Regions from separate parts of the Mus musculus genome. Here regions 1, 3 and 4 are each reported to be linked to region 2. The links are microRNA targets in miRTarBase. Many come from high-throughput screens and were not tested one by one. Region 2 holds a microRNA gene; each other region holds the end of a gene's coding sequence.
What was found. The annotated mature microRNA mmu-miR-34b-5p reads AGGCAGUGUAAUUAGCUGAUUGU and lies in region 2 at 3,587-3,609, opposite strand. An mRNA with a match to its seed (bases 2 to 7 or 8) in the 3' UTR can be bound and repressed. Matches are read on the target gene's strand: a 7mer-m8 pairs with bases 2 to 8, a 7mer-A1 pairs with bases 2 to 7 and ends in A, and an 8mer does both.

Region 1: the mRNA of Rictor is a reported target of mmu-miR-34b-5p. The part of its 3' UTR that is shown has no 7-base or 8-base seed match.
Region 3: miRTarBase lists Pkia as a target of mmu-miR-34b-5p. Seed matches in the 3' UTR shown: 7mer-m8 at 6,222-6,228 and 7mer-m8 at 6,000-6,006.
Region 4: miRTarBase lists Commd10 as a target of mmu-miR-34b-5p. The part of its 3' UTR that is shown has no 7-base or 8-base seed match.

What each region holds. Positions count from the first base shown.
Region 1 is chr15:6,795,510-6,802,633 of GRCm38, forward strand. It overlaps Rictor (RPTOR independent companion of MTOR, complex 2), which reads left to right. Exons shown (of 38, transcript NM_030168.3): 37 at 387-525; 38 at 653-4,892. The coding sequence ends at 727. Among named protein-coding and RNA genes, the nearest start is that of Osmr, 75 kb to the right of the region's middle.
Region 2 is chr9:51,100,024-51,107,147 of GRCm38, forward strand. Mir34b (microRNA 34b) reads right to left here and starts at 3,622; the gene lies at 3,539-3,622. Hoatz (HOATZ cilia and flagella associated protein) reads right to left here and starts at 2,055. Exons shown (of 6, transcript NM_177702.4): 1 at 1,722-2,055; 2 at 1,031-1,069; 3 at 1-47. The coding sequence starts at 1,947. Mir34c (microRNA 34c) reads right to left here and starts at 3,087; the gene lies at 3,011-3,087. It also overlaps a transcript of Btg4 not described here.
Region 3 is chr3:7,441,482-7,448,605 of GRCm38, reverse strand. Pkia (protein kinase inhibitor, alpha) reads right to left here. Exons shown (of 3, transcript NM_008862.3): 3 at 3,240-6,595. The coding sequence ends at 6,516. Among named protein-coding and RNA genes, the nearest start is that of Zc2hc1a, 58 kb to the left of the region's middle.
Region 4 is chr18:47,086,122-47,093,243 of GRCm38, reverse strand. It overlaps Commd10 (COMM domain containing 10), which reads right to left. Exons shown (of 7, transcript NM_178377.4): 6 at 6,933-6,992; 7 at 5,249-6,216. The coding sequence ends at 6,178. Among named protein-coding and RNA genes, the nearest start is that of Commd10, 130 kb to the right of the region's middle.

The DNA.
Region 1 (7,124 bases), not on the chromosome of region 2:
GAAAATAACTTTACAATAAGCACTCAGATCTTGATACTCTTTCAAAATCAGACACTTGAACTGTCTAAAGTGTAAACTAGAAATGCTTCCCAGTAAGCCAGCTATGGTGGCATCCACATGTCATCCTGGCACTGGAAGATGGAGGCAGGAGGGCCTGGAGTGCGTGAGGCATGGGGGCATTGGTCAAGGCTGGAGGAAAAGACAGACAGACAGACTGACTGGCTGGCTGACTGACTGACTGCCTTATACTAGTAAGGCACTGTTGCTAACACTCCATCTAGTCAGTATCCGGGGTGAGGGAAACTTAGCAGCAGTGTCATTTGCTGGGGTGGAGTGAATATATCGTGTGCTATTTTATCACGGCGTGTTCTCTCTTTTAATTTTAGCATTAAAGAGAAGTATCCTCAAACATTTGATGACATATGCCTTTATTCTGAAGTTTCTCATCTGTTGTCACACTGCACATTTAGACTTCAGTGTCGGCGGTTCATACAAGAGTTATTTCAGGATGTACAGTTTTTACAAGTAAGGAAGACTGTAGTTCTGAAATTTGTCTCCCAGAATTATTCTGTATTTGAAGTTGAAAGTTTATGTCTATATTACATACCAATTTTATTTTTTAAAAAATTAACAGTTTATTACTTCTTCCTAGATGCATGAAGAAGCAGAGGCTGTGTTGGCAATTCCACCAATTCAGCCTATAGTTGATGAGTCTGCTGAATCCTGACCTCATGCTTATGACGTTTATAGCTGGATACTCTATATGTATTCCTACTGTGGACTTCCTGAAAGCCCCACAGGATACTGACTGGCTGACAGTGAGGCAGGAGAGCCTTCTGACACTGGCCAGCAGTTATTGGTACAGAACAGCTGGGACTGCTGGCATTCCTAGCCAAGCCAACTTCTCTCCCGCGTTGGGCCCTTCTCGGGGTTCGTGGTTCATTACCATGGTTTTAATTCAGTTACCATCATATGCAAGAGCCAAGCACTGAATATCTACATAGGTTTTCTATTTTTTTATTTTCAAAGCGCAATGGCAGTGGAACAAAACAGGACATGAAGACGCATCCTTCACACCGTTGTTTTCTGAATGCTTTTTAATCAAGGGTAAATACAAAAGATGCCTTGTTTGTTAACTAATTTGTGGAAAGCAGGAGTCACTGACTCCGAGACTGCATCCTGTTACCCCGTGGGCTGTAACTGCTGGTATCAGAGGAACACACTCGCCTTTCCACACTTCTTAATGTCTGTAACACTACTTCAGAGGTTTATAACTTCACAGCAGAAGGAACACCTCAGCACTCGGAACTTGGAAGTTAGTTTACGATGCTAGATGCATAAGGATGCTTACTTGTCCTCTGTCGCTTCAGGTTGTTGCAATACGTTGTTAAAGGCTATTTCTACTAATTAAGGTTTTTCACTATGGTTGTGATGTAGTAAGGAGTAAATACTTCTCGTGTTCAGAGCACATTGTACCCAACCTCCTCCACTCCTCTCACCACTTACAAGGGACTGAGCCAGATGAGCAGTCTGGACAAAGCAAAGGAAGCATGAAGTGAGGCTGCAGTCTCTCAAGGAAAAGACAGCTTTGCCTGCAGTTTACACATTCCATGGGAAAAAGGAAGAGCCATATGTCCTATTAAAACGTCATTGAGACTCGTTATTAAGATTCAGAATTGTGGTGAAAAGCCTTAATTACTAAATTTTAAAGCAGCGATAATTTAATTTTTGTTAGTGTTCCTGTTTTGCATAAATTGCAGTTATAGGTGAGTTAAAAGTATAGTCATTGCCTTTATCACATTTGTGAAGTTGATGAAGGCGAGACTTTGTCTGTCTAATTTGTTTATGTATAAAGAGACTTGGAAATCTTCACAGGAATTAAACATATATGCAAATTTGTACATAAAGTAGCATGAACATCATTACTAGACTGCTTACGCGTGAAAGGGTTATCTTGGAACAAACCATCCAGCTGACTAGGACTGACTAGGACCTTTGCAATTCCTTTGTGTAACCCATTTTACAATTGCACATCAGCTTTAACATGTCATAGACATTGGTCCATATTTTCCCATGTCGTACACCCTTCTCATAATGGTCTTGTTTGCAAGACTGCTGTAAAGTACCCTGTGAACTAGAAAACATAACTCACAGAAATTTGTCTTTGAACTTGCTGGCACTGAAAGTTGGCACTGAGACGAAGCATTTCCTGTCCCTCCTGACTCCTCTTTGACTGCACTTGAGCGAGTTGTTCTTCTGTGCACTGTATAGCAACTTCCATGATAACAAAGCAGACAAGGGCTCTAAGCTGCTGCTCACATTACAGCACAGTTCGCATTTTCCCAGAAAATTCAGTGAGGGTAAAACTTTCTTTTCAACTTCATCACTGAACCCGTGTTCATTAAATGTCAGCAGTGCTTGAAAGAGCATGCCTATCACCTTGGTCTTTGGTCTTGGACAATAAAACTGCCTTTCCAGAGAACCAAATGTCAGAGATACTAGACCAAATAATGGTTACAATTCCAAAGGAAGTAATGTAGTCTTATTCATAAATGGGATTAACATTTTAGACATTCATTTTAAACACTACCTCAGTTAACAGAGTAGAAAATCTGTGGTTTCGTCCCTTGAGAGTTAATGATAACTATTCTTGTTTGTTTTTCTTCACACAAAACTATGCCCATTCTCGCGCCCAAGTCAGCCATCATGAACCTGAGGCTGTGCCCTAGTGTCCTAAGCCAAGGATTGTGTTTTCACTTTGACTGTTACTTTGAAAGGTGTGTGTGTGTGTGTGTGTGTGTGTGTGTGTGTGATCATATCTGCCTATAGCACTTACTTTGGGAAGATATCAGAGCTTTGTGATGATCAGTATACTGGGGGAAATTGTCTATGCTTAAATTTATAGTGCTATTTGGTTTAACCATGGTTTCACCAACAGGTGTAATACATTTCTTTTTAAGTACATGTATAAAAGTAGACTTTTATGACGAAAACGACATGCAGTGCCAAGTGATTAGCATAGGTGTTTAAGACTATTAAATTATAGCAGAAAAGGTTATGAATGATGTCAATGGTAATAGCAATCATTGAAAAATTGTCTATAAATATTAGATATTACCAAAATGTCAATACCGTAGTTTTTCAAGAGTTTAGAATTAATCTTAGTCATATAAATTTGTACTATTGATAATTATTTAATAATTTGGAGGAGTTTGAACAGTTAAGCTGGTTGTAAACTGTGAATTTCTAATTGTAAATTGTCATTTCTAATTGAAATTTTTTCAAGAACAGATTTCAGCTTCACATACTAAGTACTGACAAATAAAAAAGTGAGAAATTTAGTATTTATAAGAAAATAGGCTCTAAAATGTCTTATGCTTTTCTGTTTCTGCTTAGAGTATAATGGAGGAAGACAGTGTCCCCTGACCTAAGTGTTTCTAATAAAGAGTAAGTGTAGAGACATCCCACAAGACAGCAGCAGTGCAAGGCTCTTAGGAAGTGTGTGCACTGTTGCTGTGGTGATGTATCCAAGTCACCAGGAGCCGTGTCCTCAGGAGCTTTCGGCTCTTGTCCAGAGCTTGAGACAGTTGAAGCTGGGTTCCATCACTGAGACCAGATGTGCGTAGGGGCTGCTAGTGTGTGTGTAAACTGCCCACTGCTGTTTCCATGCACTCTCAGCCCCTTCAGCTGATGCCCCTGGTGCCCCACTCAAAGCACAGACCATTAAGCAATAAACAAAATTGTCATTCAAATTATAATTGTGGTTATTCTCCTGTGATAAGAGGTGCTAATTTTGTGTGAGAAGAACATGTGACCTCTTTGGAAATATAGTTTGGAAGTAAAGTTTTTCCCCCTCTTCTTGTACTTCCATTTTGTCCCAAATTCACAGTTCATGAAAGAAAAGTAAAATTGTTTAGGAGACTTCTAAGAAGAGCTGCTTGCAATAAACATTTCAGATTTTCCCGAGTGTGAGTTGGGAAGGTCTCCATTTCCTCCATACTGACAAAGCCTGTTGTTCCAACGTCTCTTAGCTTGGAGAGTGTCTCTACACTGAGTCTCACCTCAGCCTGCCAGTGACCCTGAGGTCACTGCTGAGGAAGACACAGGAGTCTGCACTAGTCTTTACAAGAGCCGTTGTCATTTCAGGTCCCCGGGGGTTCATTACAGTACATTTATACAACTCACAAGAGTGTGGGATTCCGCCCCTTTGAGTATTTTTATAGTTAGGTGGATAACTGCCGCAGATGCATGGATTGCACATTTTGACTCTATAATACTTAGTATGAAAAATTAATTTATGCCAAAAAAAAAGGAAACATATCTTACAATTTCCCCAACTAGGTTGATCTAGCACAAGATGCAAAGTCTTGGGGCAGAGCGGGAGTGGTAAAATCTTTTAATGTATGATTGTTGAAAAATGTTCCATTACTAGCCTGTCAAAAACCCTAATGATGCATTGTAAAACAAATGATGTAAATTAAATTAGCTTTGAAAAGTGGTAAGGGATTATAAAGAGGATCTCAGATTTAATGCTCTCTGACCACATGACCTTTTTTTTTTTTTTTTTAGTAATACGCTGCTACATTTTTGGAGGTTCTGGTGTTTGTAGGTCACTGAACAGACATTGAAATCTGATTTATATTGTATAACTGTAACATAGAAAGAAAAAGTATTTATATATTTTCCTTAAGAATATTTCATTGAGTTGTGTATAATTTAAATAAGATTTGTCCCAAAATGGTTTTGCTCACTTTGATTTTTTTGTTGTTGTTATTGTGGTTGTATTGTTTTTGTACAATGTGTACAGTTTATGTTAAGGGCATTAAAGCCTCCTGAAGCATAATCTTATCAAAGGGATTCATTGTTAATAAAATGTACTTAAAATTCTTAAACTTGTGGTGGTGTTGACATTATTTGAAAATTTAATGTGTCTCATTGGGCCTTGGTATGAATCATGTGCTGATGTTGACAGGTGTGGTTTCTAGTAAATGGGGGTTTTTGAGTCTATAAATGGGCATGGTCTTGTACCACGAAAAGAGGTCCCACTTGTACTTCCTTGGCATTCTCCCAAATTTAGTGTGCCATGCTTACTCTTCAATTTCAAATCATTACGGTGAAGGATTTGGACCTAGAAACGTCTTTAAGTAGAAGAGCTCTGGGCTTGCTGAGGTAGTGTTAAGACAACGACCACCATGGAAGTGGTTTGATGCTCAGGAGTCTACACACACTCGCCTGAGCAGATAGGCCAGCCTTCTGCCGCCTTGGCTAGACTAGCGCACCACAAGAAAAGAGCCAGCTGAGAAACTCGCTGTGGCAGTTGCTGAAGTCTGTTTTCCCACCTTGAGCAAGCTGGTTGCAGGGGTTTGGACTGTGTTCATATCTTGCTCACACGCTATACTGTGTTTACCAGAAATGTCGTTAACACCCAGGTGAGGAGTATGCCTAATATTTTCATACTTGAATAGGACAGTGATAGGTTTTATTTTTAAAGGGTCTCCAGATGCAAGTATTCACATAGCAGGAGACATAGCTCAGTGGTTAAGAGCACTAGCTCTTCTTCCAGAGGACCTGGGTTCAAATGCCAGCACCCACCTGGTGGTTTATAGCCATCTGTAATGCTAGTTTCCTCTTCTGGTGTCTAGGCATCAGGCATATACATAGGCACAGGTGGAGGCAGACATACACACAAAATGTTAAAAATACTCAAACCACTGTACTAAAATTTTAATGAATATTTCATGAAATAATATCTCAAAGCACTGTGGTTTTCTTGGTGCTCATCTGGAGCACTAGGTGAGCTTCATACACTTAGAGCCAGGAATTGGAGATAACTCACGATCTTGTTTGTCAGCTTCTTGCGCGCGCCAGACTGGCCAGCAGTAACGACGCTGCAACAGGATCCTTCTGCACACATTTATTGGGAGAGCTTGATTGCAGAGACCCCGAGCCCAGAACTGGTGCTGCCTATATAGGCCTAGGAGAGGCGTGTCTCACACCTGGATTGGTTATGCACTAAGCCTCATTTGCATGTTCCTCATTTGATTGGCTACTCTCTCTGTACCTCACAGAGCCTCATTATCATACCTCATTTGCATGTCTCACATCGGATTGGTTATACTCTCAAAGCCTCATTATCATGCCCAGGCCAGGCAGTGTCTTTGCAAAAAGCTTTACTGCATATGTACACATTGGTTGGTTGTCCAAACTTATGCATGGTGGCCAGCAGTAGTCAGTGCCACTCTGCAACGGCACATGTGGCTTCCCACATCTCCCCCTTTTTGTTTTAATAAAATGAGGCTGGACTAGGCCTGTGCAATTATGTCCATCCGCCGTGGCTCCTGTTTTAGGTCGTTCCTCTGTTTCACAGCCTTACCCGTCATAGGGTAACCCTATCGCCACCGGGCCCTGTGTCTTAGGTTGGACTGTGCATGAGGAAAGTTGCCTGTCTCTGGATACCACAGTGCTGTGTGACAGTAACTGCTAAATGACCTAGGGAGAACTTTGCAAAAGAGGCCAGCCAAAAAATGAATTAGTGGGGAAATCATGATCACCCTATCGCTTGCAATGAGGAAACCTCAGTGATGTGCAAGGGCTGATCAATGATCGTTGAGTCTCTCTCATCTCAGTGCCGTGGAGTGCAAGAGCAGAGAACTCAGATGCCAACTAATTCTTGAGCATAGATAACCAAATTTCAGGGGAGGAGCCGTTTTCAATAGCTAAAAGTGCCTGAGTTATAATCACCTTGTCACGTTTTTTGTTGGGTTCTGAATTTGCATACCAACCAGAGCATGAACACCAGTCCACAGCATATGGCAGCACCAAACAAAATCACTCCCACCCATTCCTTAAAGTAAGAAAAAACAGAGGTGAGCCAAGAGGTAACTGGTTCCACTCTGGTCCCATTAATAAGGTTCAGGATCTGTATCTGCAGCCTCGTCTGCAACCTTTCCAGCTTCTGCAACCAGTTCCCCTTCAGGTAATTTGTTAGGTCTGTACTTTTAATAAAAGAATTATTAATATACCTATTGGGAGTAATGCACACATGCGATGTGGATGCCACACAACTCATTTGTATGACATCCATCATCTGTTCCATATTATGTTGTAAAATATCCACTCTCTGA
Region 2 (7,124 bases):
TTCAGATTCCTGAATCCTTTGGGCTTTAGCAAAGATAATTGCATCCTCTAGAGAAAATAAAACCAAATTTAATCTGACACAACTTTGTCATAATTCTTACAGTTTTGACATGAAATTGGATATGGGAGAATAGAGTAGGAAGGGACACAAATACATACTGTCTTGACATTATAATGATTGGTAAATAACTGAAGACTGCATTAATTATTCATGATGTCAGGAACCCTCCCATACCTTTACATGATGAGTAAATCATAAGTGGAGATAAGAAACAGCCTCTAAAGAGAAAGTGCCTGTGGGACCAGGAATGCTGGGGAGAAAGTGCCTGTGGGGTCAGGGATGCTGGAGAGAAAGTGCCTGTGGGACCTGGGATGCTGGAGAAAAAGTGCCTGTGGGTTCAGGGATGCTGGAGAGAAAGTGCCTGTGGGGTCAGGGATGCTGGGGAGAAAGTGCCTGTGGGACCAGGGATGCTGGAGAGAAAGTGCCTGTGGGATCAGGGATGCTGGAGAGAAAGTGCCTGTGGGACCAGGGATGCTGGAGAAAAAGTGCCTGTGGGATCAGGGATGCTGGGGAGAAAGTGCCTGTGGGGTCAGGGATGCTGGAGAGAAAGTGCCTGTGGGGTCAGGGATGCTGGGGAGAAAGTGTCTGTGGGACCAGGGATGCTGGGGAGAAAGTCCCTGAGGGGTCAGGGATGCTGGAGAGAAAGTGCCTGTGGGACCAGGGATGCTGGGGAGAAAGTGCCTGTGGGACCAGGGATGCTGGAGAGAAAGTGCCTGTGGGGTCAGGGATGCTGGGGAGAAAGTGCCTGTGGGACCAGGGATGCTGGAGAGAAAGTGCCTGTGGGGTCAGGGATGCTGGGGAGAAAGTGCCTGTAGAGTCAGAAAGTTATCTTCTGGGTGAGTATGTGAGCCCTGAAGCAAGGTGTGGGATATGCAGCTTAGTTATATCACAGTGTAAATGTATACTTCTAGGAATTCTAAGATAATCTGGGGAGTCTACATATAAAAAGGCATTAAAACTTGATACTTACTGTCCTGATCAAAGGGAAAGGGCTGGACAGAACTTTTCTCTAAGAAATACAAATGAAGAGAAAGTTATTGGAAAAGCTGACATGAACAGTATTTTAATTTCATATACCTATTAATATTGAATAAGAACACTTTATACATCCTTGGCCCGAAGGCTTGTCAGTCAGGAAACAGGGTTCCTAAATTAGACTCTGCCAACAACTTTTTCTTGGGCTTTTAAATTTGAATTCAATTTTATGTAAATGCTTTCCTAATCTAAGCACCATTTCCTTAGATTAACCCATCCTCTTTGCCAAATAAAAGCCATCATTTAAGGGACTCTTAGAATTTTTTTTTTTTTTTAAGATTTTCATTTTATTTATGTGAGTACACTGTAGCTGTCTTCAGACACACCAGAAGAGGGCATCAGGTCCCATTACAGACGGTTGTGAGCCACCATGTGGTTGCTGGGAATTGAACTCAGGACCTCTGGAAAGCAGTCAGTGCTCTTAACTGCTGAGCCATTTCTCCAGCTCTAGAATGAATTTATATGTAACAATGAGATCCTTTACAGTGGAGAATTGCAGCAGTTTTAGAATTGTTTGTGTATTTGCATATACCTATTACTGCCTGTTTCTGCTTGTTTGTACTTCTCAATTGACTGACAATTAGACCAGGCAGTTTCCCCTTCCAGGAGGTAGCCTTGCTACTCACCTCTCAGAACGACTTTAGAGTTCCGCGCCACCGGTAGCCTCTGACTGCTGCCTCGGGTCAGCACGAGCTGAGATTCGGTAGTGGGGTACATGGACGCCCCGAGCCAAAACTGCTTAGCCAAATTGGCATCCTGCTCAGAGCAGCCGGTGAACACCAGTAATCCAGGGGAGCAGATTTCCTGGGATTCCTTCCTGCCGCTAGGACAGCCTCTGGGCCCCGTTTCCATGGTGACTCAGGACGCTTTCCTTAGCTCTGGCGTCCCGCCCCTACCGGAGAACCGTCCTGTTGGTAACTGCCACCACCGGAATGCCTGTGTTTCTTCTTCCGTAGATCTGGGGTTCCTCGAGGGCTTGTGGCCCATCAGCAGCTGGCTTCTGTCGAGGTCACAATTTTCGGGGCCAGTCAAGCCTTAAGAGTAAAAGCCTCAACTTTGTGATGTGTACAGTCCTGGACTGTCTCTTAGATCCTCAGCCAGCGTCTCCTCCTCCCCCAGATAGCCCAATAATGTGAGCTTTAAAGAGCGCCTTCCTCTTTTGGACAAGATTGCCAAGGCTTCGCACTCTTACCTCTGGGGAAATTCTCAGGTTTGCATTGATACATCTGCATAAAGCGCTAATCTAGAACTGGGCCGAGAAGTACCGGTGGATACAGCTTGTGTGATTTAAAACCTCTCAAATCTTTTATTACAGATATTAGGAAACCAGCTGGTTTTAAATCGTGTTCACTAATTATTCCCACGAAAAGTTGCCTAGAACGCAACTGTTAATACCTTAAAAAATATACCTGGTTAAGTGGGCTGAGTTCCCTTGCCCCATGGAAAATTATGAAAACATTTAACGTTCCCTTCCAGGTCACAATCATGTGTGAGACGTTTCCCTGGAGATTTTGTCTGTATAGCAACTAACCATTTAATGACTTTACGGGGTTGACAGGAGCTGAAATGGAGATCCTAAAGCCAGTTTTTGGAAAGGAAATGAACACGATTGCTGAGATTTTCGTGGCGCTTTATTTTTTAGAGTGTTATTAATATGTCAGGCAAAGTCCAAAGATTTATAATCACAAGTCAATATAATGACCAAATCAGCTAAGGGATAATTTCTATTTTTCCAATATATCTAAAAATCACAAAAAATGTACCCCACACAAATTGATACATTGTATACTTAGCAGCTAAGGGCTAGCGGTTCCCCCCCCCCCCCCAAACCACTAATAGTATGGTAAGAATATTTCCCTATGGCTCTGTCCTCACCAAAATGACGATTCACAGGAGGCTCAGTCGGAGGAATTTCAGTCTTTTTACCTGGCTGTGTGGTTAGTGATTGGTACTATTAGCAATCAGCTAACTACACTGCCTAGTAACTAGACTCAGAAAAAAGCATGCAGTCTTTAGCTGGTGCTCTCAGACTTTGGTGTGACCAGAGCAAATCGTCAGCCAAGCTGTGGTTGACTCTAGTCGCTGCCTTGGTGATAGCTTTCTCAGAAGTGGAAATCAGGCAGTGAATCACAGCAGCAGCAGGAACTGTTCTGGGGGGGGGGGGGGGGGGGCTCTTCCTGGCCTTTTTTTTTTTTTTTTTTTTTATGTTAAGGCCGGTGTATACCGATTCTCTTTACACATCACTGAACCGTTTTTGCTCTGGCTCTTACACACAGGTAGCCGAACGGTCCCTAAAGGAGGCCGCCGGTCTCCGAGGGTTACTTGCACTTAGACCTCGTGCTCCCGGCCCTTTGCTGACGCATCCTGGCTCCGGCCTCGGCTTTCTGCGGAGTCAGTGGGGCTGCAGCGCTGGCTTCTCCTCCCGCGGGCGGCGGGTGATGCTGTGCCTTGTTTTGATGGCAGTGGAGTTAGTGATTGTCAGCACCGCACTACAATCAGCTAATTACACTGCCTACAAACCGAGCACCGGGCGCCCGCCACTGCAGCTCCCGAGGGTCGGGCCCCTCGCCCCCTTTCGCCACGGTCGACAGGCGAGGGCGGCGGAGCGAGAGGTGCCTCAGGCTCCCGAGGCCCCTCCACACCCAGCAGGGCCGCGCGCGACCCCAGGTGAACCCCCAGGCGCTGAGGCCCCCTGTCCCCGCCGTCCCCCCCGAGACCCCCGACTCAGCCCGGACCCCAGGGCATCCGGCCCGAGTCCTTCTTCCCGCAAGCCGGGTCTGACCCGCCTCCAACAACTTCTTCACGGCTTCCAGACCCAAGTCTAGAGCCGGTTCTGTCCAGCCCGCGCGCCCCGCAGCTCCTACTGGCCGAGTGACCGTGGCTCAGCGACCAACCGCCCTTGGAACCCCGAGGCCGAGGGGGCGGGGCGAGTGGGGGAGGGGTGGCAGAAGCTACCAGAAGGGGCAATGGGAGGGCTCCTGCAGAGCCTCCTGGGAAGGGGCCGGGGAGATGGAGAGACAGATTCTTGAGAAGTTTATCTTCACAGTGTAGTTACTGCTACATCGAAGAAAGAAGCGCAGAGACCTACATCCATCTCTCCTTCCCAATATATTGCCCAAGAAGCCCCAGGCCTCCTCACTGTTCATATGCCCATTCTCAGAAACCGCTTCCCAGGCGTCTCATCTGGAGCCTTCCTGCCTGAGCAGGCCTGGGCACTCATACCTGCAGGATTGCCCTTGCCTGTACCCAAGTTCTTTCTTAGGACTACCTCTTACAGGGCCATACAGTGAAGTGTGGGCCACTCTTCTGGTCAAACATTGAACCAACACCCTTGTTGGTAGGTCAAAGTTGTGGCCCTTATAAGATCAAAGACACAGTTTTGATGATCTCCCCGTGAGCCTTGAGGATATCTAGTCTCACTTTGGGCTCCTGTTTTATTTAAATGTTACAAATCCAGCACCTAACAGGCGTTTGTCTTACTACCCATCAGACAGTCTAGGTGGTAACAAAATGTGAACACATTATTTATTACTCCAGACAGTATAAAGTTGCTAAACTGATAGATTTTCCTAATAGAAAAAAACAGGTATGGGTGGGGGTGGGAGGTGTGCCAACAAGAGCTGACAGACACCATCATGGAGGAGGTGAGAGTTCAGGTAGATCCTTGAAGCAAGGGTAGATTTGGACATTAAGGATGAGGTCTGTAGAAGCCCGAGAAGCCATATCTTCTGTCAGTTACATTCCCCTTGTTTTTGCTATTTTATATCTGATAACGGGGTGCGTGTTTGTGTATATTGGGAATAGGAGGCGCTGAGGGGACAGCATTTCTGCGCCATCTTCACTAATATTTCTTTCCTTTAGTCTTTCCTCTCCTTTCCTTTAATTAATTGAGCCCAGAGAGGATATACAGTATTCTCTGATTGCAAACTTTGTGGAATTCAGTAGGAAGTAGCCGTCCCAGACTGTGGTCTTCCTGTATGCTGTATGACACCCATTTGTATTGATCCAACAGTCTTGCAGTCTACAAAGGGACATTTCTTAGCTATACACTGATACCTGTAAGCCCAGCAAATGGTCTTGTAGATGCCACTAATTACATGAATATATGCCAATCATCAGGAACATTCAACACAAATTCCAAGTGGAAACCATTAAAACCCAAGAACTTCCCAAGAATAAACTTGTGTATATTTTAACATTATCTTTGAAAGTAAAAGACAATGTTTTTTTCCTTCAGAGTCATTGTTTTATGAAGGCTTAAGTGAAAGGAAAATGAAGTAGAAAATGCCAGATTATTATAAAATTAACTTATGAAAGACATTTGTAAATAACTATCTTGTATTCAGTCTTCTTGTATTTGAGAAAAGTATAATGTATCCTACAAAAGGTCATTTAAACGTTCAAATATAAATAAAAGTAGTAGAAATAGCCTCCATCCCATAAACACTATGAAGAGTTACAAGTTTTAGGAGGACATCATTAAAAAATCATTTATTTTGCATTTTGCTCAATTTCACTCCATGTGTCATGCTTCCACCCAGCTTAGGGATTTTCTCTATTAGTAGCATCTTAAATATCTTACCTGAGTTTTATTGCTTCCATCCAAAGCTATCATTGCATAAACTGTCTTGAAATTTAGACTAAATTTTTTTCTTCAATGATAAAAAGTAAAATGATGAAAAAAAAATGCGTGTGCCCTAGTTCTGTTAGAAAGCAACAATAGAAAAGAATGTCTGTTCTTAGGGTTGCTGTTGATCCTGCCCACAGTTACTAGAGAAACTCCAAGGATCTTATTGCATCTGCTGGTCATGCCTAGGCATGTCTAGAGACCAGGGAGACTCATGTTTTAATCTAAGTAAGAATGCCTGTGGTGTGGTTAAAATGCCCAAGCAGACCATTACATTTGGTTAGATAGATCCAGGAAGGCACCTTGAGGAGGAGCTGTTTACTGCTTTAATTTCTGGGTTTTTGTTGATCTGGGAGATGGGGTAGGACCTTTGAGGAGATGGGTTGATAGTATTGACCGGAAGGAAACCATGAAAAGTATCAAAAACAAGAACTTCCTGCGTGAATCTGACAAATTTATCTTGACTTAATTTATGACTCCTGTAAAAGGGCCATCGAGAGATGACTTCCTCCTGTCAGTACACACAGCACATCGTCTGTACACGTCCTCTTTGTTTTTAGATAGGGACTCAATTAGCTCAGGCTGGCCTTGAGCTCTTGTTCTTCTTGATACAACCTCCCAGTTGCAGGCTATTTCTGCAGCATTTGAAGGTTCTTGTTAGGGAGGAAAGAATGAAGGACACTAATTAGAAAGCAATGATCTTTAGCCACTTCTTTTAAAACATTTCAAAAATGCATACTTTCCTAGGAAATAAAACCATGCATTTTTTTATGCAGACTATCAAATGTCAGATGACCATATTAATATTCACGATAGTATGCTTAGGAACTAGTTTATAAGTTGAAGCAAGGCTGAGTTGAAGTCAATTTAGCCCTTGAATAATTACAAATCAATGAATCTGTTTAATCATAGTGGGTTGTCATCTGAGCTAGAATGAACTGCCAGCAGCTCTATACCTCTGGTTTCAACTCAATGAACTCTCATTAGGAAAAGTTCTCAATTAGCTTCTTGTTTCCATTTCTCAATTAACCAATAGTTTTGCTTTCAGTATCAAATGTTAATTTACTTTTTTAGGAACAATCTAACAAAAATAGCTTCCTAGTTAAGGTTGATGGAGCTCTTACTCCAGAAACAATTCTTGTCTATTTCTCATCTCTAGGGAACAACAGTCTCCAGAGATGTGGTTTAATTGGAGGGATAGACAGTTTGTTTGTATAGATAATTAATATAGTTAAATTATGTTAATCATATTAATGCATCATAATATTAATATATAAATTATTATATTAATGCATAAAATGTTTAGATAATATATTTATATCACATAAAATATATTGAATGTCTAAGTACTTAGATTACTAAGTGCTTAAGAAATCTTGAATTCGAGTGCTGTTATTGTTAA
Region 3 (7,124 bases), not on the chromosome of region 2:
TTTAGATCAATTGTCATAACTAGGCTGCCTTGTCTAGCCTCAGAAGGAGAAGATGCCCTTTGTCCTACTACAACTGTCTGTTAAGGTTGTTTGATACCCATGACAGGCCTTCCCTCTTCTAAGGAGAAAGGAGGGGGGGGCTTGGTGGGGGGTGAGAGACAAAGACTGAGAAGAGAGGAGTGAGTAGAAGCTGCGATTATCTTTCTTCTCCCTCCCTAGTGGGATAGAAGCATCCTCACTTGGGCCTTTGGCTTGATAACCTTCTTAAATTCTGTGGATTGTGTCCTGGGTATTCCGTACTCTTTTGGCTAATATCCACTTATTAGTAAGTACATACCATGCATGTCCTTTTGGGTCTGAGTTACCTCACTTAGGATGATATTTTCTAGTTCCATCCATTTGCCTGCAAAACTCAGGATGTCCTCATTCTCAATAGCAGAGTGGTATTCCATTGTGTAAATGAATCACATTTTCTGTATTCATTCTTCCATTGTTGGGCATCTGGGTTGTTTCCAGCTTCTGGCTATCAAAAATAAGGCTGCTATAGTGGAGCACATGTCCTTGTGGTATGGTGTGGCATCTTTTGGGTATATGCCCAAGCTGCAATCAGGATATAAAGTAAGCAAATACCTCAATGAAAGAAAGGAAGAAAGGAAGGAAGGAAGGAAGGAAGGAGAGAGAGAGAGAGAGAAAGAGAGAGAGAGAGAGAGAGAGAGAGAGAGAGAGAGAGAGAGAGAAAGAAAAAAAGGAAGGGAAGGAAAGGAAGGAAGGAAGGGAGGGAGGAAGGGAGGGAGGAAGAGAGGGAGGGGAGGAGGGAGGGAGGAAGGGAGGGAGGAAGAGAGGGAGGGGAGGAGGGAGGGAGGAAGGAAGGAAGAAAAGCTCAGCTGGTGCTCTATTTCCTTCTAACATTTCTTTGGCTTTTTCAACTGTGAATTCTTTTCTTCAGAATAAGTCTTAAGATAACTTCTGTCTAACATTTAGTATACCTGAACAAAATTTAACACCCACAAGTAGACTTCTTTCTTGGCTGCTGAAGGCTTGGTTTGGGCTTTTCTGTGGCCCAGAGTTGCTCTGTTGGTATGTGGTCTGACTTCTGTGTTTTCTCCTCTGACACGTCTCCTAGAGAGTTCATATCAGACACGTCTCAATCTGCCATGTTTAACTGCTTTTGGTCTTCTAGGCTTTCCTACTAGGGTCTTATGTTCTACTTTTCCACTTGGCCCAGTTCCTCTTCCCATACTTAACAAGTATCCATTGTGATGTACCTCCACTTTCCTACCAGTGAACATTACTGTAGATCTTTTGTACTAACTTTCTTCAATGAAATCTTCATCTCAAGAAACAATTCTAGCATATAGACCTTGCTTTGCTTTCTTTTCAGTAAAATTTCTCCTCAAAAATCTACTTTGAACGTTCCGCATTTCTCATTCTCTCTCTGTTTGCATGACTGCTCTCTCTCTCTCGTTTTTGTTTTTGTTTTTGGAGACAGGGTTTCTCTGTATAGCCCTGGCTGTCCTGGAACTCACTCTGTAGACCAGTCTGGCCTCGAACTCAGAAATCTGCCTGCCTTTGCCTCCCAAGTGCTGGGATTAAAGGCGTGCGCCTCCACTGCCTGGCACACATTTCTCTCTTATTGCTATTAGTACAATAGCCACCCACTTATAAATTAATGTGATGCACTTTTATTCTCATTTGGTGTAACTGAATTTATTTTAATGAACCTTAGGTTTCCACAGTGTATTGACTGTGTTTGTGTATATATGAATATATTTTACACACATATTATGTATAATTATACTATATTATATATATATATGTATGTATATATATATATATATATATATATATATATAATAAGAACATCTAAAACCCAGGGATTATTGAGAATTATAACTAATGTTTACCTGTTATATTTAGTAATATTAAAAATGTTTAGCTCAGAATATAGTCTCTTTGCCTCCTTTTCTAGTCTTTACAAAAAAAAATCTACTTACTAAAGTCTTTGTCACCTCATTTAGAAACCCACTCAGTGAGTGTGTAATCCCCTTTATTTATTAGCTCTCAATAATATGTGTTGACTAAAATACTGTAGTAAGGACATACTGCTGCCAACTTCAAGATGTACTTCATAACTGATGAAGAACAATTATAGCACTGACGTTTCAAACACAAGAGTTGCTTTTCCTCCTATTATTCTGATCTACCCATTAATTCTCTCAAATTATGCATTTAAAATAGAAATTAGATGCATACAGAAGTAAATTCCAAAAAGAAGAAAAAAAGCAGAATTGGAGAAAAAAAAACTTTCTAAGTAGAGATAGAGAAGGGGTGTGGGAATGTTGGTAACTCCAGTGGAAAAAATGATAATCCTTATGTCTTCCAATTTATGTAATTTCAGTGTCCATAGTTATGCCTATCCACTGTATAATTTCAATTTCTGTTGTCTACTGAATTTTGAGGATTTTTCTTCTTCTAATTGTACCTGTTAGGGAGACTTATATCTCAATAACTGTTAAATTCTTATTCCTTATCCAGTTTGAAGTTACATTAGATTTTCACTAATATCTTAAATTAGAAAGTCATAAGACGTATCCAGGGAGAGTGTTTCACATGTATGTTTCGGTTTTGTGGCTTAAGTAAGACAAATTTAAATATTTACAAGGTTCTTTGGCCTATGGATTTCGGATCCTGAAAGATGGATGGCTAATTTCACTTGACTCCCACATTGGTTTTTTTCTTGGCCTTTTCTACCTGCCTGTGATAAAGAGTATTCTCAATCTCTCTCTCTCTCTCTCTCTCTCTCTCTCTCTCTCTCTCTCTCTCTCTCTCTCTCCCTCCCTCTCCTCCTCTCCCTCCATCTCCCCCTCCCCCCTCCTCCCTCTCTCTCCCTCTCCCCCCTCCCCCCCTCTCTCGGTGTATGCTACTGAAGAATGTTTTAAAAACCTTAGTGTGTTTGAATACTTTCTCTCTTAACCAAATCAGAAGCATAGGTTGAAGTTGACATTACAGCTCTGAGTGTGCATGGTTATGGCAGAAGGCTACAGTGAGGTGCTGGACACCTAGAGTCAAATGGATCAGAAGCATCTAGGGTAGAGGGCAGGAAAGTAAAGCCAGAGACTTGGGGATACGCACCCTGAGATAGCTCAGACTTTGAGTTTGCCTTTCACATCCTGTTTTACAATCCTTTCTTCAGCATCAATATATAGTATGCAGTAAATAATGACTCTTGAGAGACTGCATTTCAGAAAACAAGTGCTGCTTTTAATATCAGTTATGTGAGCATGCAACATTGCTAAATACAAAAGTCATAGAAGCTCACAGATGACTTCCCAGGCTGCCACAAGTCAGTGAAAGAACATTTCCAGGCTTCTAAGACACAATCAATTATGGATCCTTTCTTCGTTTAATTTAATGACTATACATTTTTTTCCCTTACTACTGCAGAATTCATTTAGAAGTTTGCTGCCCAACAGTTACATTTTTTTCGTATTCCTCTGAGAAGAGATAAAAATGTCATTTTATTCTACATTGGATCCTTGATGTCACATTTAAGGAAGACTCAGTGGTAGGGTGTGAACAGTGGGCTACTATGTCAGTATTTCCTGAAAAATAAAGGTCATGATTTTCTGTTATAGAGCAGAAAGCATTTCTGTGAATTCAGGATGAATATGTACTAACATAAAATGTTCTTAGTTTAAAAAAGTTAAGCTCAACAAATTCTACAGCTTCTCATTCATTGTTAATGTGTTAAAATGGAAAATTTTGTGTTTCTAGGTTATTAAATAAAAAGCAAGAATATTTGTTCACATACATAGCATGAACATAGCATGTAAATTTACAGTTTACATGTCTTAAATAAATTCAAAATAAGCTATAATTGAGTATTAAAACAACAACAACAACAAAAAAAGGTAGGCTCAACCACATGTGTCTTTGTCCCAAAGACATGTGTACAAACCCAAGAAAGGCTAGTCTATTTAGTAACTTAAATTCTTTCTCTGTAAAATGCAAGCTGACTGAGTGTATTATCTATAGTTTTCCATACAGAGAAACACACTGTGTAATTAGCTTAAATTTTATGAAATGTGGATTCAAAATTCTGTTGATAAACATGGGCTCAAATTAGCTTTTTAGTTTTGCAAAAATTAGTCCTTATTCATGTTCACATTGTAATTTGTGAAAGGGGCATAAGATGAAACTGAATGGTACATTTGGTTCTGAAGTGACTTAGCTGGGGTAGTTAACTAACACCCCTTTCCTTGGGCTGCCCACACTTCCATCTGCATTTACAGATTCATTCCCTATGTAGTATTATTTACTTGCAAATGATAAGTATTAAATGAAAACCAGGAGATTCTATGCACTTTTGCCAATTAAAATTTATGTGATGTGACAAATTCAGAATGTTTATCTCTTTTCCCTTACCAGCCACAGAATCCCTCTAGGATTGAATACAGGACACCAAGTAGCAGTAAGAAATCAAATGAAATCAGAACCTCCCTATGACTTCTGCATTTAGCACTACTTATATATTTAAAGACAAGCATGGCACCGCATGCATTAGTAATAGTATATGACACAGGGGTATAACCCTTCCACACAGTCTTAGCACTGGTTCAACACTTTACAAAATGCATGTGAAACCAGTGTGGAATTACACAACTTTAAGAATGATCTTCCTATTCACAAGAAAGCTATCAGCATAGTTAAACAAGGACATTGAAACTGTTGGATGTTGTAAATAGATTATCGGAGATTGTCTCAAATAGGCCATAGGTTCACAACTTTGAGTCTATCAATAGGTAGATTTGTTTCAATTTTAGCTAGCCTCCAATGACTTAGATCAAAGCAAGGCCTCTCATATTGAATGTATTTACTGTTCTATATCCAGAAAGGCATACTTAACAGTGCTTGTTTTTCTGGAAAACATCCAGTTGGGGACTAAATGAGATTCATATATTCCCAGTCAGTAATGAAAGCACTCTATGGGAAGATATAGGCAGACTTCCTTGTCTACCTTGTCTGTAACTACAGACTCAGGTCGAGTTCCTACCGTACCCAGGTCTGCCTGTTGAAACACCTCTACCTACTTAACCTGGAACTGTAGCTATGCTAGTGCTCCAGGACACTTAGAGGCTCTTCTGTTGAGAAAGTCTTCTTTCATCTGTTATTTGCCTCCTATGATGCACCAGGTGAACCTTGGGCATCTAACTGGATCCTCATTTATTACCAAAGATAGTTGGTTTCATAATACTGACCAGAGAGGGTTATACAGGCCACAGAAACTCCCCATACAAGAATTGTGATGTCAAAACACAGCGTAGACCATCAACAGCATCAGTAAAAGTGTAGTTGGGTGATAATTTTTATATCTGAATGCAATTCACACAAATTATTAGTAAAATTTTACAAACATTAAAAAGTGCATAACAACATTTGGGTATGAAAGGGCTGAGAGGGGCCACAGCACAAGGGCTTTACTTTTGAGATGGGTGCCCACAGGCTTTGAGGAAAACACTTCCTTCACAAGTTGTCCTCCTGCGTTAAACAGTGGCACCCAGCAGTGTGAGAAAAGTGATCCTCACAGCACAACATTTCTAGCTCTTTGCATTATCTGGCATTCTTTGTTTATTTTGTTGATTCTTAAAAAAATTCTTATAATGAAAAATTAAAGTATCAGTTGAAAGTACTTATTTGGAAATAAAATCAATATTGAAAGACAGAACGCTGGTCTGTGTAGATACTAAGACTGAACTCAGGCAATATTCACATTCATGGATATTTCCACATGCCTGTATAATAAAGCAAAGTGGGCTCAGTGAGTCTAGTGGATGTAACCCTCGGCAGTTATCAAGAGGAAAGTTGTGTTTTACAAAAGAAGGTTCTGCCCTGTTCACGCCACAACACTATGGGAAATTAAAAAGGCAGCCCTTTAAAAAATGAGCGGTATAAAAATTCACAGTCATGTACATCATTTTGTTTTATGTAAGCAATCAAAGGGCAGTGCAGAGCAGGTGTACTGTACGATACAAAACGGCGTAAGTAACAGCACTCACACACAGGGACATAATGCTAACTGTGCTCTCTGGATGGTTCTTTTTGTGAGTCAATACTCCAGCCAGAGATACTGAAACTCTGGGGTTCAACCAACTCTTTTCAATTAGACACAATTAAATCCTCTGACATCATGAGGGGCCAGATGCCACAGGAATCATCAGCTAGGCAGTGCTACTCTCTACAAGCATTTCATTATACGGTCAAGTGGAAGGACCCATACACGAAGGAGATCCAAGCACAGCCCAGGTGATTTCAACCATTGCTAATGACAGAGGTGGGGAAAAGGCTGTGTGCAGACACAGGCTCCATCCCCACTTGTGACATGGCAACCAACAGTGTCTTGCTGTGCAGCGCAGCCATTTTCTTCCCCTCCGTTTCACCCGTGGCTGCGAATACATCCGAGCATCGCCAGGATATTTGCCACATTGTCAGATGTTGATGACCGTCAGAATGGAGTGTTAGCTTTCAGACTTGGCTGCTTCTCCCTGGGCTTCTCCACTTTGTTCGGTGGAGCTTCTCTGTCCATCATCTTCACCTTCTATAAGAGACAATGAGAAGTGAGAGCAAAGAAAAGCTCATGGTTCCTGTCTCTCAGAATGCTGGAGACTTCAAAGTCTGAAATGGTTATAGAGAAGTGGGTTTTCTTAGAAGTGTACAATAAACAAAACTGTATATGTGTTCAGAGCCCGGCACTTTATGAGACATCAGAATGAAAGTCAAAAATAAATGACCTGTGAAATGTCTAGAGTTGTTAATGGTGAACTACGCTTCTGGTGAAGGAAATCTCATGGCCACACTCATCACTCTTAAATGTGGTTTTACAATCTACAGAAACCGAGTTGGCATTGTGCCCCAACTCTAATGTGAAGAAACATTTAAAATTTCCTTTTTCCATTATTTATAGAACTTTAGGATAATACACCTGATTTCTAAAAATTCTATTAATTTATAATTGATATTAACAACAGAAGGTACATGGATTTTTTTTTTTTTTTGATATTTGGTCAGTCTCTTGTCCAACAGTTTGCTGGTCTCTGATATGTGCAGTGTCAGTCAAATGTCCCTCA
Region 4 (7,122 bases), not on the chromosome of region 2:
CATAGTCCCTTACCATATGCCCCTAACCCATGCTCTTTCCTAACAGGTTCAGTTGTCTCTAGAGTGAGTTGGGCAGCTAGAGATCCATTGTGGGAAGCCACATGTGCCGTTGCAGGGTGGGGCTGGCTACTGCTGGCCACCATGCATACATAGGCAGTAAAGTTTTTTGCCAAGACGAGGTTTTGAGAATTAACCAATCAGATGAGAGACAAGTTAACCAATCAGATGAGAGACAAGTTAACCAATCAGATGTAGGCATGCAAATGAGGTGGTAAGCATAATCCATGCATAACCAATCTGGGTGTGAGACACACCTCTCCTAGGCCTATATAAGCAGCACCAGTTCTGGGCTTGGGGTCTCTTCGCCTCTGCAATCAAGCTCTCCCAATAAACGTGTGCAGAAGGATCCTGTTGTAGCATCGTTCTGGCTGGTGAGTCTGGTGTGAGCAAGAATCCATATTCCAATGGTGTTCTATTAAGAAAGACATGATGAGCAGAGCCACACTGCACTGGCCCCTGATATAATAAATAGCGTAGATATCATTTAAGGCAAAATGAAATAAAAGTATCATGTACCCTGTGTGTATGTACAGCTGTGGATGTGCAACAGTGGCCTGCATGGGCAGAGGAAAACCTCAGGCGCTGGTCCCTGCCTTCCCTCTGGTTTGCAGCAGTCTCTCTGTTGTTTCCCACTGCCCACATTAAACAGGCCGGGCTGTGAGTTTCCAGGATGCACCAGTTTCCGTTTCCCATCTCTCTCACAGGCACACTGGGATCACAGGTGCTCACATTGTTTGTCTTGCTTTTATGCACATTCTGGAGACTTGAACTCAGATTAGCAGGTCTGAGCAGCAAGCACATCTCCCCACAGAGGCATCTCCCCAGCCTGAGGAAAAGATTTCTTAAAGCCAAAAGGACCATGTGGAAAGGTATTCACAAAAACAAACAAACAAACAAAACTATGTTTCTTATTCTAGTGCTATCAGGGACCGCAATAGTTAGTTAAAAGAAACTTAAGAAGTGATAGATTAGCATTACAGTAGAAAAGAAGGAGTTGCTGTTAGAACTCAAATTCAAAGAGAAAGTCTTTCATAAGGCTGTTGGTAATTTTGACATTAATTCAAGCTCACCTGGAGCCCTTTTAGTAGAAGGCCTATTTTCTCAGGGGCTGTAAAAAATACCACTAACACTTGCATGTGATCACGGGAATCAGAGTTTGACAAATGTTTAACACAAATTATCTCACTTAATCCTCAAAACCTTGTCATTATTTAGATTATTATTCCTATTAAGGAATTATGATTTGTATTAAGGCCAAGAGAAATGATCATTAGCAAATTGCAATTTGTTTAATATATGCACAGCAAACATGAACTAGGGTATGACTCGGGCACTGGCTGAGGGGCCAAGTCCATTACGTGCTATTTGGTGGATAATGGGACCCTTTGAAGGCAGGGAAACGGAATAATTAGTAGAATTAGTGTTTAATTGGCCCGGAATGAAGCCCGGGCTGAAGGAGAGTTGGACTGGATGCAGGGTCGTGTGAAGGCAAAGACGCTGGTGGCTTGGACATGGGAGAGACCTAGAAATACATTTATAATATATTAGGTCATAAAAAACAACGGCCCTTGGTGAGGGACTGACGCCTGTCTAGCTCACTAGCTGTAGCAGCTGTGCTAGTCTGTCCAGCACACTCTAGCCATATAGATTTGTTGGTTCTTAAATACACTAGTAAGTCTTTTCTAACCTCTGGGGTGTTTGCTGCACGGAGCAGACTGTTTGTCTGAATTTTTTTTTTTTCCCTATAATTCCATTCTGTCATTGTATCTTATCCAAGTCTCACTCCCCAGAGAATCCTTCCAGAAACCCATGATCCTTAGGTTTGGTTCCACATTGGAGTTTTTCTTAATAAAATCCAATTATACCTACCTCACCTCTGCCAATTTACTGCACGATTGTCCACTTTCTTGACCCATGCATTGTATTTCAAGTGAGTAGGGACTATGTTTGTTTTGCTCATCGTGGTCACATAGTGGCTAGGTATGCAGAATTCTTGGCAACATGTTATTTGGTGAATATTTATTAAGAAAATAAATATCTGACCTTCAAGGCCCTTATACTTACTGCTCTGTACACATCTGACTATCTTTAAAAAAAACATTTCTTCTTCGGTCTTGGAACTACTAACACAATATATTTCTAGTAGAAAACAGTGCTTCCTTTTTCAGTCTGTGGAAGGATACAAACTATGTAACTCCCAGTGAAGGCAAATGTTAAGGGTGGGAGGGAAGGGCTGAGAGAAAGGCTTGGGGAGTGAATTCTTAGGCATTGGTGGAAGGAGCAGAAACATTGAAATAACTGTTTGGGGAAACAATGTAGCAATATCCATCAGAGGCCTCGAAATAAATATAAACACATTTAAGGCATTTGTATATGTATTCACTTGTCTGAAAATATAGAAACCAAACCATTTATCACAACCAAATAAGCACTTCTAACCCTACTATTATCCTGCTACAGGAACATTGCAATAAAATGAGTCCTGATGACATTTCTGTCTATCTGTAGATCAGTGAGGCACTCAGCCCTCATCAGAAGAGCTTCTCTTTGCAGTAGACCAGAAGGAACAGACAGACCCACAGATGGACAGTGTGCAGAGAGGGAGAGACTTCACAGCTCTCAGTCCTAAAGGACTGAGTTTATCAAACTCCACTCAAGGCTCAGGGATCTGTGTGAAAGAGGAGGTGGAAAGACCATGAGAGCCAGGGCTGGTTCCCAGATACAACAGGACTGATGCACATATGAACTCATGGCAACTTTGACCACATGTATGGGATCTGCAGAGGTCAAGCCAGCCAAAACCCGAAGGTGGACAAGGGGAAGTGGATGCAAGTCCAACTCCAAGTTTGTTGTGCCTTTTTTGAATGTTTTTGGTTTTTTTTTTATTTGGTTGGTTGTGTTTTGTTTTGTTTTGTTTTGTTTTGTTTTGTTTTGAGACAGGGTTTCTCTGTGTAGCCCTGACTGTCCTGGAACTCACTTTGTAGACCAGGCTGGCCTCGAACTCAGAAATCCACCTGCCTCTGCCTCCCGAGTGCTGCGATTAAAGGTGTGTGCCACCACTGCCCAGCCCGAATGTGTTTTTTAAGAGAGAAAGAACATGAAGTTGACAGAGTGGGTGGGAGACCAAATCGCAGAGGAGTTGGGGGAAGAACATGACCAAAAAAGATTGTATGAAATCCTCAAAATAATAAATAAGAACATAAAAAGGGCGCTTCTAGGGTTTGAAATGGCAAAGTAGAACAGCTGGGTATTTTTGCCCCTAATGGAAAACTGTTGCTATTATAATAAAAATTAGCATTAAAGAGAAAAACAGAAAATAAATCTTCACACTTTTGCAGTAGCAATTCCACTTCCACAAATCTCTGGTAATAACACAGAGATATCTGGTCTAGCACTGTATGACAGCAGGTTCATTATTAACATTTTAAAAAGTGGAAATCATCTAAATGCCTAACAATAGAGGGAGGAGGTTTAACTTACTCAAATGATGGTTTATTCACTATAGATTAAAATTATGTTCTGGGTAATAAGGATATGAAAAATGCCCAAGTTATAATACGACATAAAAAATTAAACTATAGCATAACCTCAACTTGCTAGGAAAAGAAGAAAATGAATAAGAAAAAAAGTATGGCCAGGAAATTTAGGAAATGAAAAACCCACTAAAATGCTATTAATGGCCATTTCTGGATGACGAGACTCCACAGGTTCACACTGGTTCATTTGGATTTTTATGTACTTCCTAATTTAAAATAACCACGGAAGCAACATCATCTTTGCAGAAGGTATTTACTCCCCGTTCTAATGAGTAATTCTCTTTCTAGTAAACCATCAAGTGCTTCGGGATGAGAAAATGCTCTGAGAAATTTATCACCAGGCAATTCCACCACTGTGCATGGAGAATGAATGCCCTTAAAGAAACCTTCACGACTTAGCCCGCTAACAGTGATATAATACAGTCTTTCTGTGTTAACTTGACACAAGCTAGAGAAAAAGGAATCTTAATCAAGCAAATACCTCTGTGGAATGCTGCTTACTGGCCTGTAGGAAGTCTGTAGGACATGGTGGGCAGTGCCACCCCAGGGCAGGTGTTCCTGGGTTGGTAGAAGAAAGCAGGCCGAGACAGACATCGGGAGAACGTAAGCAGCAATCTTCCATGGCATCGATTCCTGCCCTGCCCTCCTTCAGTGATATTTCAATGTGGAAATGTAAGCTGAAATAAACCCTTTCTTCCCCAAGTTACTTTCTGATCATGTAGATTTATCACAGCAATAGAAGCACTAACTAAGACAGTAGTGAAATCATTTGTCTCAGTCAAGATAAAGGCACTTTGAAAGAAGAACCCTTAATTGAGAAAATAGCTCCATAAGGCTAGCCTATAGGCAAGATTGTAGAGCATTTTCTTATTAGTGATTAGTGTGGGAGGGCCCAGCTCACTGTGATTGGAGCCAGCCCTGGATAGGCAGTCTGAGTTGCATAAGAAAGGAGGCTGGGCAAGCTATAAGAGCTACCCAGTAAGCAGCATCCCTTAATGGCCTGTGCTTCAGTTCCTGTCCCGAGTACTTGCCCTGATTTCCCACAGTGATTGAGTGGGACTTCAGAGCTCCAAGCGGAGATAAACTCAGTTCTTTCCAAGTTGTTTCTGGTCATGGTCTTTTGTTGCAGCAATAGAAACCCTAACTAAGGCGTTGTTAAGGAAAAAGAAAATAAGAGTGATCTTTTCAGCCACAGAAAGAAATGTATCAGGTTATATTATAAGCCACACTGAGCTATACTACAACGGCAGCTGGGGCCTTAGAAACCCTTAGAATCAAGCAATTATGGACAATACCTGTATCACTTGCCTTCTGCAATAACCCCAACTTTCAATTCTATGCAACAACATTCTTCATTAACAGTACAGGTACTGTGGTGCATAGTGAGCTCTGATTGGGGGTGAGTGAGCACTGTAGTACCCAGGACCCTCTCATGAGAAATGTGCTCAACTGTAACTGCTCTGTTTGCTTAACTGCAGGACGTTCTGAAACCACATTCCTTCATATGAAGCAGCCTATGTCTGAGCCTGGAAACAAGGGAAGACATTTCATTAACACAAGTTTCAAGTGAGTTTTCCCTCTCAGGAAACCATGTATTTATGTAGAGTCACAGCTTAAAGTACCTTATAAAATAAAAACATTGTACGCTTGAGTTTAAATAATTCTCAGGTAGAAAATTTTTATTGACTGAAACCAGTGAACACATATATCCATAAAAGGAGGATGCATAAAGTTTTCGAGTGAAAATGTAAGATTCCCATGTCATACTCATTACAGGTCAATTTTCATTTGCAATCTGAAACACTGAGAAGTGCACTGTTAGTAATCTGCAGAGATATATGTAAACCTAGATGATTTTGAAGTCATTAACGTCAGGAACCTTCAGGGGGAGTCAAGGGGAGCGCAGTGGGATGAACTCACAGCAGTACTGGTACCATTTTAGATTTCTTTCTTGCACTATACTTCAAGCAAAAGAACACTGCAGGACAAATGCCAAAACATTTGACGGCCTGCGGCTGCTTCCCTAATTAATTACTGTAATGAGTAAGGTTTCATACTCTGCTAGGGCACCATCATACCTTCTGCCTACAGACCTTCCCTGATCCCTGAAAGCAATCTGACAGAAAAAACAGAGGCCCTTTGGTCTTGCAAACTTTCTATGCCCCAGTACAGGGGAACGTCAGAGCCAAGAAGCAGGAGTGGGAGGGTTGGGGAGCAGGGTGGGGTTAGGGTATAGGAGACTTTTGGAATAGCATTGAAATGTAAATGAAGAAAATATCTAATAAAATAATTGTTAAAGAGAGAGAAAAAAAGAAAAAACAGCATGGCATTCACTTCTTACTTCTTTCGTTTTTCTCAACAATTGCTCTTGGCTCCTGTGAGGCGAGAAGGCACACTCGAAACCCAGTGCTCCTATTGTGATCTCCCATCACTGCTATTTGTCTAAGATGCAATAAGTCATATTATCTGTAGCAATAGTGTCACCGAATCCTCTAGAAAATATACTTGGGCAGTCTCTCTTCAGTGCGAAAGAGTGAGGTGGCCGGAATGTGATGGCGAAGGAAGCCAGTCTTCCAGAACATCATGTGAGGGAGTCCAGCTGCGCTTGTATGGTCTCCAGCTATTTACAGAGACAAAATAAAGACAGCAGTGAGTGAGTGAGGGGAATAAACCGCATACAAAATGCTTAGAAACATGCAAACCAAAGGGAAACGGAGGCAGCAGGAACTCTGTGCAGTGAACCACGCTCAGCATAACACGGCACAACAGTAACAGTCAAGCTGCTTTTCTGGATGTGTAAAGACCTTAGGATTTAGGCATTTAATGTTTTAGTCGTTTAATGTTTTTACATTCACGAAGGAAGAAGTATTACTGTCTTAAGTGCACTTAGCTATTTTAGTAAATTGTCACTACACGGTAAGACTTTAACGTTTGGTAGTTAGTAAGATGCATTGGAAAGAAAAATGAAACACGCTCAAAGATAAATCTCTAAAATCTGTCAGCTTCCTTTTATCCTTGGGCTCAGCCATTTTTGTATGCCAGGTGGTCTACATGTAATTGGCCAGTGGCTGTGGGGAGCACACAGTGCCCGCTTAGTTCTATACAAAACACTAATCCTATCTCTCTCTTAGTTATTGTTTTCCTTCTGATTTAGTTTTCAGAGTCTCTTCATCTTGGTTTTGCCTCTTCCTACTGTGAAATATAAGTTGTTTATAGGAGTTTGAAGAATTTGGCCCTATCATTTGCCTATAGTAAGGCATTCAAAAATAAAAATTCATTAAAGCAAGGAAGCATCACACAATTTCTGCATCCTAGAAAACGTTGATAAACACAGACCTTGTTGTAGAAATCGAACAGCTCCTTGTGATTGAATTCCACGAGAACTTTCTCCACGTTCTGTAAAGAAACAAGGGAAGACATTCATTCGGCTGTACGAACGCAGTGCACCCTGCACTTCCCACTCTCCAGGTCGTCTGGGGATATGGGATTCTTAGAACTCACAAAATCACTGGGTAACATTCCATCT